Linked DNA regions of Danio rerio. The protein of the gene in region 1 purifies or fractionates together with the protein of each later gene. This does not show direct contact. Links are inferred from orthologs where the notes say so. Each region holds a gene or a part of one and is shown on either strand. Other genes may lie near its edges.

Region 1 (3,893 bases):
GGAATTTAATAACGCACACCAAATGGAAAGAAAAAAAAACTTCCACATTAATCTAATTAATTGTAAGTTTAATCTAGATAAAAAAAACATCATCTACGCCCACCTGTAGTATAAATATATCCCTCTGTAAAATATTCAGTACATAGATATAAATAAAACAGTAGAGTTTGTTTTATAGAAATGCTGCATTTATGGCTTAGTTAAGGAGAGAAACTCATTTAGCCTTCAGAAATATATATCATAACTGAAGCGTACAGACACAAATTGATAAAGTGCGTTTTCTTCATATTAGACGTACAGAAAACATTTAATGAAAAGCAAAAATCTCAAAACTGACAGGTGTATAAAAACATTTTCTTATGCTTCAGTGTGTCTCATCAATAAGTGTTTATGTTGTGTGTGTAAAGAACATTTACGAACCATTTCCATGTCTGGCCTGACTCGCATTTTGCTGCCTGTGCACTCAAGTCCGAGTCGCAGCAGACAAAGAGCCACAGCAGGAGGCCAGTGCTCAAATTTAAGATCTAAAAACCGCAGACAGGCATCCACGCAGCCTTTTTCTTCTACCTCTGAATGCAGTACATCTCTCTAAACAAATCCAATGACATTAGTCAATTTGTTTTACTTACAAAACATTTTGGAATGATAGTGTTAAGGTTCTCACTCTCTCATGGACACCACATTTTTTTGATGACTTTCCAAAATCTCTAATAATTTTAAATTATGATCTTTGCAATTCACAGCCCCAGCATATATACAGTAGCACCATGAAAGTCCTTATTGGACTTAACATTTTACTTACACTTAATATTTACGTCAAAATACCACAGTAATGATGTTTTGAATGCATCATTTTCATAAATGTAGAATCATGTTCAAAGAACATTAAAACATTTAGTTAAATTCAATACCGGTAATATTTAAATGCGATGTCTGAAATATTACTAAAATGTGCATTTATTGTCATAGTTCTCATATTAAATTTAAGATTTTTTAAATTAGGAATTTCTTAGTTTTTAAAAGCAGCACAGTAAAATCTAAACACCAAAAACTTTCAATTCAAGCACTTTCAACGACCTATGTTCATTTTTAAGCACTTTCCAGTCCTTGAATTCATAGGTATGAAATTCAAGTAGTTTCAAGAAGCGTGGGAACCCTGTAGTATACAATTCAAGTTGATTTGTATAGCACTCTTATACAATAATTATTGTTTTAAACAGCTTTACAAAGGGTGCAAATTCAAGGATTCTACAGGTTTCATCAAGTCAAGAATTTTAAAGACCTTTTTAAGACCATTATGAATGAAATTGCAGACTAATTGCAGACTAATTGCAGACTTTTAGACTAAACTTTTCTAATGGCCCAGTTAAAAACATTAAAAACAAATGTTCCTGTAAGGAAGATAATTAATCCATATTGGTAAACTTTTTTCGAGATAGAATATTAGTGGTTGGATAGGTGTCATCCTGATTGGGTGACTTTTAGGCATGGGCCAGTATATGTTTCTGAGGGTATGATAACCTTGGATAAAAATATCACAGATTAAGGCTTGTAAAATTTTATTTAAGACATTTTAAAACTTTTTAAGACCCCGCGGATACCCTGGCATTATTGCTTTATGATCAAATTAAGTTAAACACCTATCATAAAACCACTCATAAGTAATATATGTAGATCATAAAGTGGATTCTTATCAAACTTACCAAAAACAAGTTTTTTGAGGACTCTTGTTTAACCTTTTGCCCTGTACATGTTTCCAATATAACCTACAAGCAAAAAAAACTGTTATATTTATAGTGATATTTCATATTGATATTAAGTTGGAATTGATATAAATCAATTAAACCATCAACAATAAAATAAAAAAGTAAATATCTTAGTTATACAAATTAAACATTTTCTTAGACGCTCCAGCTTCTCACCACACCAAGACTGTAAACATCAAGTTTGACTGACAGCTTTCCATCTCGAATGTACTCCTCTGGAAGATAGCCTAGATTACTATGTAGAGCAGTATTCATGACAATAGTGCAGCTCTGGTCAACAGAGTGTGGCCGCAGGCGAGCTAATCCAAAATCGCACAATTTAGGCTGCATGTTTTCATCCAGGAGAATGTTTGAACTGCCAAAGGAACACAAAACTCAATGCATGCTCTTTACTGCCACCTACAAAAGTATTTTTGGCTTTTAACGGCACCTTGTGATGTTTCCACATATAACAGTGCACGGTTGTGAAGTGTGTAGATGATGGACTGCCTTCGCCGTGCCTTTGATAATATTCAGCCGTTCTTGCCAAGATAGAGGCTTGTCAACGTGCTGTAATAAAACCAAAAGTAAGAGAAATAATAGATCACAGTTAGAAAAGACAGTTTGCTTGTGGATGACTGACCTCATGAAGTCTGTGGAATAATGATCCATTTTGAAGGAACGGGTAAACCAAACAGAAGCGATCCGAATCTGAAAAGCTCCCCCATAACTCTAAGATGTTAGGATGCTGGTTGCTAGGATGACAAACAAACGTAAATAAATAAATGACAAAATGATAAATGAACTTATTTGAATGTGGCTAGGTATGCAAAGTCCGGACTTACAGTTGGAGAACTTCAATTTCCTTGGTGAATTTTTCCCACAGTGCCTTCCAGTCAGTTTTATTTTCCTGTAAAACATAATAGAAGTCATTTGATCAGTTCTTTTCACAATTTGAATATTATTATATTCCAAAAATCAAGAAAGCAAAACATACAATTATTTTTATCATGATTCTAATTTTCCCCAATTTTCCAAATTCATTTGAGGTTTCATTTGTTAATATTAGTTACTTGTGTTAGTTAACTTTAATTATCTATGAAAAAATGTGGTGGTTCATTCCACTGTGTTGTACTCTGATTAATAAGGACTAAACTGAAGGAAAATTATTGAATGAAAATGCATCTACAGGGTTTATTAATTTTCTTTTTTTAGCAAATGTTAGTTTCAGTTTCACTTTATTAAAATCCAGAGTCATATTTGATCACGTGTTAATTACTAACATAAGCAACTTAATTCCATGCAATTATATTTATTCAAATAAAGCATTATTATTGTTGTTACTAATATGTAATTTCATAATTTACTTTTTTGTTATGTTCTTGTGGTACACATATAAAATGGCTGATGAATGTAAAACCAAAGGTAATCAAAATTTAAAAAAGCATTTGCTGTATTAAATTTATACTGAATATAAATATTTGCTCTGAATGTAAACTGTAAAACATGTACTGTAAATTAATAATTTTTCATTTAAAAGCCTTAACAATAACATAATTTCCCTCAACTAATTGTTTATCCAGCTGTGGCGAGTTCTGAAATAGAAACTAAGCCTATAGAAAATGAATGAATGAATGATTGATATAACTTCATAATTAGTACATTACATATAGCATTATTTTTACTTGCATTAACTGTTCATTAAAGACCTTGATTTTGTAGTTATATGATTACAGTGCTCAGCATAATTGAGTACACCCCATTTTGAAAATTCATATTTTTATCAATTTCTCAGTGAATGTAGGCAATGTATTTTGTTGCATTTAAACAAAGCAGATTTATTAAACAGATTTATTTATTAAATTAATATTTTAGTCACCAAACATATTTAGTACTTGAAAGATAATAAAATTAAATTCAAGCTAAATATTGCAAAAAAAAAACCAACCTAAAAACCTACAAAATTTCAACTAAATTTTAACAATTTATTTTTTTTTTGCTTTTTTTTGTATTTAATAATTTTGTGTAACATAAATTTGGGTGAACTAGTTTTTGGACCGTTATTGCAAGTTATTTTGTTAGATAAGCTCCAGATTTGGCTTGAGTACTGACTAATCTAATGTATATGCACAAATATAATATTGTATA
Region 2 (4,043 bases), on another chromosome or scaffold:
GTAAAAAAAATGTTAAATTTTAAAATAGGAAAATGGAAACATGCATCATGGATATGACAAAAATGGTGCAAGTTTACAGTATACAACATACTATGTAGAAATTCTGTGAATTAAACTGCACAACCCAAAAGAAACAATGCTAATAAAAATGATAAGAGTTGTCTCACTATAGAACAAACATGATTGATTTTATTTGATTTTGCATTTATGATGAAAAAGCTTTGTTATGGATGTGACATCTCTCTGTTATGGATATGACAGATGTAAAATTGCCACTTGTGTGACTTTGGTAAATCAAATATAATAGTTTGAAAACACTGATAGATACATTAACCAGAAACAGTTTCGCTATTTTGGCGAAAACGTAATTTTTTTCATGGCAAGGTTGACATTTGCATGGAATTGCTCATTACCTGTTTATTTTAGTATGATCATTACATATTAAAGTGTTTAAAAAAGGTTGCTGATAAAATAGCATATTGCAAGTTAGTTATATCTTTAAAAAAAATGTTAGCACTCAACAACATTGTAAATTTTTCCATTATTGTGCAGCCATACCGGCAACAAATGTGAAATATTATAGCATATCATTTAACAAACCTTTTCAGTTACTACCAATTCGATGTCATTTTGCTCACATGGCTAGAATATGAATCATTTATTCATTCATTCATTCATTTCCTTCGGCTTAGTCCATTTATTCATCAGGGGTTGCCACAGTGGAATGAAACGCCAACTTCTCTACCATATGTTCTACACAGCGGATGCCCTTCCAGCCATAACCCAGCACTGGGAAACACCCATACACTCTCACATTCACACTCGCACACTATGGCCAATTTAGTTTATTTATTTATGCAGGTCTTTTAACTGTGAGGGAAACTGGAGCACCCAGAGGAAACCCACGCGAACATGGGGAGAACATGCAAACTCCACTCCGAAATGCCAACTGATCCAGCCAGAACTCGAACCAGTGACCTTCTTGCTGTGAGGCGACAGTGCTACCACTGAGCCACCATGACACCCGTTATATTAATCAGATGATGTCCTTTCACAGCTGTCTTGCTGCCAGTCAATCGTTGTTTTGTTGATCATGATTTTGAGGATAAATAATAAATGAAGTCCTTCACAACAAGAACGCAGTAATCTCAGATCAGTTCATCCAGATATTTTAATCTGAACTTGTTTGAAGAACTAAATTAGCTATTCAGTTTTGGATAGAATTCCCATTCAATTTCATAACACTCTCATTTTGCTTGCCAATTAAAGTATTTTATGTCCTTGCAGCTTCACAAATCATATCAGATCAGACTGAACTACGCCTTTTGGAGCAAAGCCCTCGACGGACGAGTAACCTCATGCACAATTGGGGTTGTCGCAATGGGACAGTTGGAGCACTGCTGAAGATTCTTGAGGGACTCCAGTGGTTCAGAGCTCGTGATATCATTCTCAAAGCACAACTATGTAGGTTTTTTTTCTTCTTCCTTTTTTTGATTTTTTTACCACATCTATGTGCCAAGCAGGTTATCAGTTGGGTTTTGTGGTTATCACGTTACTCGCTTTATAATCTAAAGTTTCACATTCCATGGTTCAAGAAAGAACTATGCTGTCAGTCAGATGTGAAATTTCTCAGTTGTGCTTATATTTCCCACGTTCTTATTTGGTTTACTTGTTTACTGCTTGTGATCCGTCAATGTATATTTTAAAACCTGTTTGTTGTTAACTTTCATCAAAATGAATTGACTTGTTCTGCCTGTAAATCTGAACTCAAATCTGTAGAAAGGCATTTCAGCAATCAATACTGATACCTATATTATGAAAATAAATATACTAACAGTATATGTATTTATACACTGGCTTGTCACATCAATTAAAAAAATGTAGATTTTTAAATCCATATTCACTGATTAAAAAAAAATTAAACAAATAACACATTCATTGACTTTATATGTTGGAGCATAAATTATTCTACAAACTTGACTTACTGGCATCATTTGCTAGATATTCATGTTATTGGGTTATCTGTCTATCATGAATGATTGTAGATAATTTTTGTCTTAAAATATATGTATAAAAAATGTATAATATAATATATATATATATAATGTAATGTAAATATATATCTCTGATCTTACAAAAAATATGAAACAATAAAACTTAATATATTTATTTATTAATAATATTTAATACTTTTATATTTATTTACTTATCTCATGATTTATTGTTCAATAATAAATCATACATGATAAATAATATTTATATAGTATATATTTATATAGTATGTAGTATATAGTATTTATATAGTAATAAAATACTTATTAATATTAATGTTAAAAACAAATCTTGTATTTTATGGAAAACATGATTAAAAAAAAAAAAAAAAAATATATATATATATATATATATATATATATATATATATATATATATATATATATATATATATATATATATATATATATATATATTACAACGTTAGTTTGAAATAAAAAATGTTGGCATAGAAAATATGCTTTTATTGTACTTGTGTTATGATTTGTACAAGCACTGCCTGTCAATAGTTTCAGATAATAAATCCATCAATGCTCTTTTTTTTATGCATGTGCACAGGTAGACAATTTCCACAGAATCATAAAGAGCAACAACCCAGTACAGTCACATTTATCAAAGAGCATCTCCCTGTCCCCGGTAACATGTTATTCTTACTACAGTCCTTATGTTAACATAAAACATGACTTTGATTATTACCTAACAGTTGCTCACTTATCATAACATCTGTGCTAAAAGTGGCTCTTTTATGTTTCCAGAGATCAGGCCTTTACCCAGGCCTAGCCCTCCACCACCTGACTCCGTGAGCTCAACAATCTCAAAAACAACTGAAGAGGTATTTTGTTTGATTAAGATAAAGAATGAAGGTGAAGGGCACAAAACTGTTAACTAATTCTCACCATACATCCTGAGTTGAATGATTATAGTAAGAATAGCTTCATAAAATGTTGTTTAAATGTTCAAACAAGGTGTAATTTAATTAAATATGTGCTAATTTGCATAGATTTCTAGCTTAAAAGTCTGAACATTGAATGAAGTCAAGTTCAGAATTCTTGTGTATATTTTTTTGTTCTATACACTACCTGATAAAAGTCTTGTCATCGATCCCAGTTGTAAGTGCAACAAATAATAACTTGACTTCTAGTTTATCATTTGGAAAAGTGGCAGAAGGTAGATTTTTTTTTTCTATAAATCATCTGTTGAACTGAATTCCAGTCATCACAAATACTGCAGAAGACCTATTGGAACCCACATGGACCCAAGATTCTCACAGAAATCAGTCAAGTTTGGTGAAGGAAAAATCATAGTTTGGGGTTACATTCAGTATGGAGGTGTGCGTGAGTTCTGTATAATGGATGGCAACATTTCAAGACATTTGTGCTGCCCATTACATTACAAACCACAGGAAAGGGCAAATTCTTCAACAGGATAGCGCTCCTTCTCATACTTCAGCCTCCACATCAAAGTTCCTGAAAGCAAAGGTCAAGGTGCTCAAGTATTGGCCAGCCCAGTCACCAGACATGAACATTATTGAGCATGTCTGGGGTTAGATGAAGGAGGCGGCACTGAAGATGAATCCAAAGATTCTTGATGAACTCTGGGAGTCCTGCAAGAACGCTTTCTTTGTCATTCCAGATAACTTAAGTAATATGTTATTAGAGTCATTGCAGAGATGTATGGATGCAGTCTTCTAAGCTCATGGGAGTCAGACACAATATTAATTTGCCACTGCACCATGACTTTATATTTTACAACATTATTTCTGTTAAGTGACAAGACTTTTGTCTAAGCAAAGTCAGACTTTACTGTCCTAATTAAATAATTCAAAACCAAGGCGTTATCATAATTTATTTTAATAAAATAAGCATAATCTAGAAGCCTTTGCCTTTCATATAAGCCACTTGGTCACACTTTACAATAAGGTTCATTAGTTAATGTTAATTAATGCATTTACTAACATGAACAAACAATGAACAATACATTTACTGCTGTAT

Evidence for each region. Proteins that work in one complex are often made in the same cells at the same time.
Region 2: the proteins of irak3 (region 1) and irak1 purify together in Homo sapiens (co-immunoprecipitation; 3 studies listed by BioGRID and IntAct, with this or other methods). This does not show direct contact. The link is inferred for Danio rerio from reciprocal best matches to the Homo sapiens genes IRAK3 and IRAK1.

Annotation. Positions count from the first base shown.
Region 1 is NC_133179.1:13,359,187-13,363,079, forward strand, and holds part of irak3 (interleukin-1 receptor-associated kinase 3), read right to left. Parts: intron 2,656-3,893; coding exon 2,591-2,655; intron 2,501-2,590; coding exon 2,389-2,500; intron 2,316-2,388; coding exon 2,197-2,315; intron 2,122-2,196; coding exon 1,923-2,121; intron 1,767-1,922; coding exon 1,704-1,766; intron 589-1,703; coding exon 421-588; intron 1-420. UniProt on the Homo sapiens protein: Putative inactive protein kinase which regulates signaling downstream of immune receptors including IL1R and Toll-like receptors.
Region 2 is NC_133183.1:9,128,595-9,132,637, reverse strand, and holds part of irak1 (interleukin-1 receptor-associated kinase 1), read left to right. Parts: intron 1-1,287; coding exon 1,288-1,468; intron 1,469-2,610; coding exon of another isoform or gene 2,611-2,614; coding exon 2,615-2,688; intron 2,689-2,807; coding exon 2,808-2,884; intron 2,885-4,043.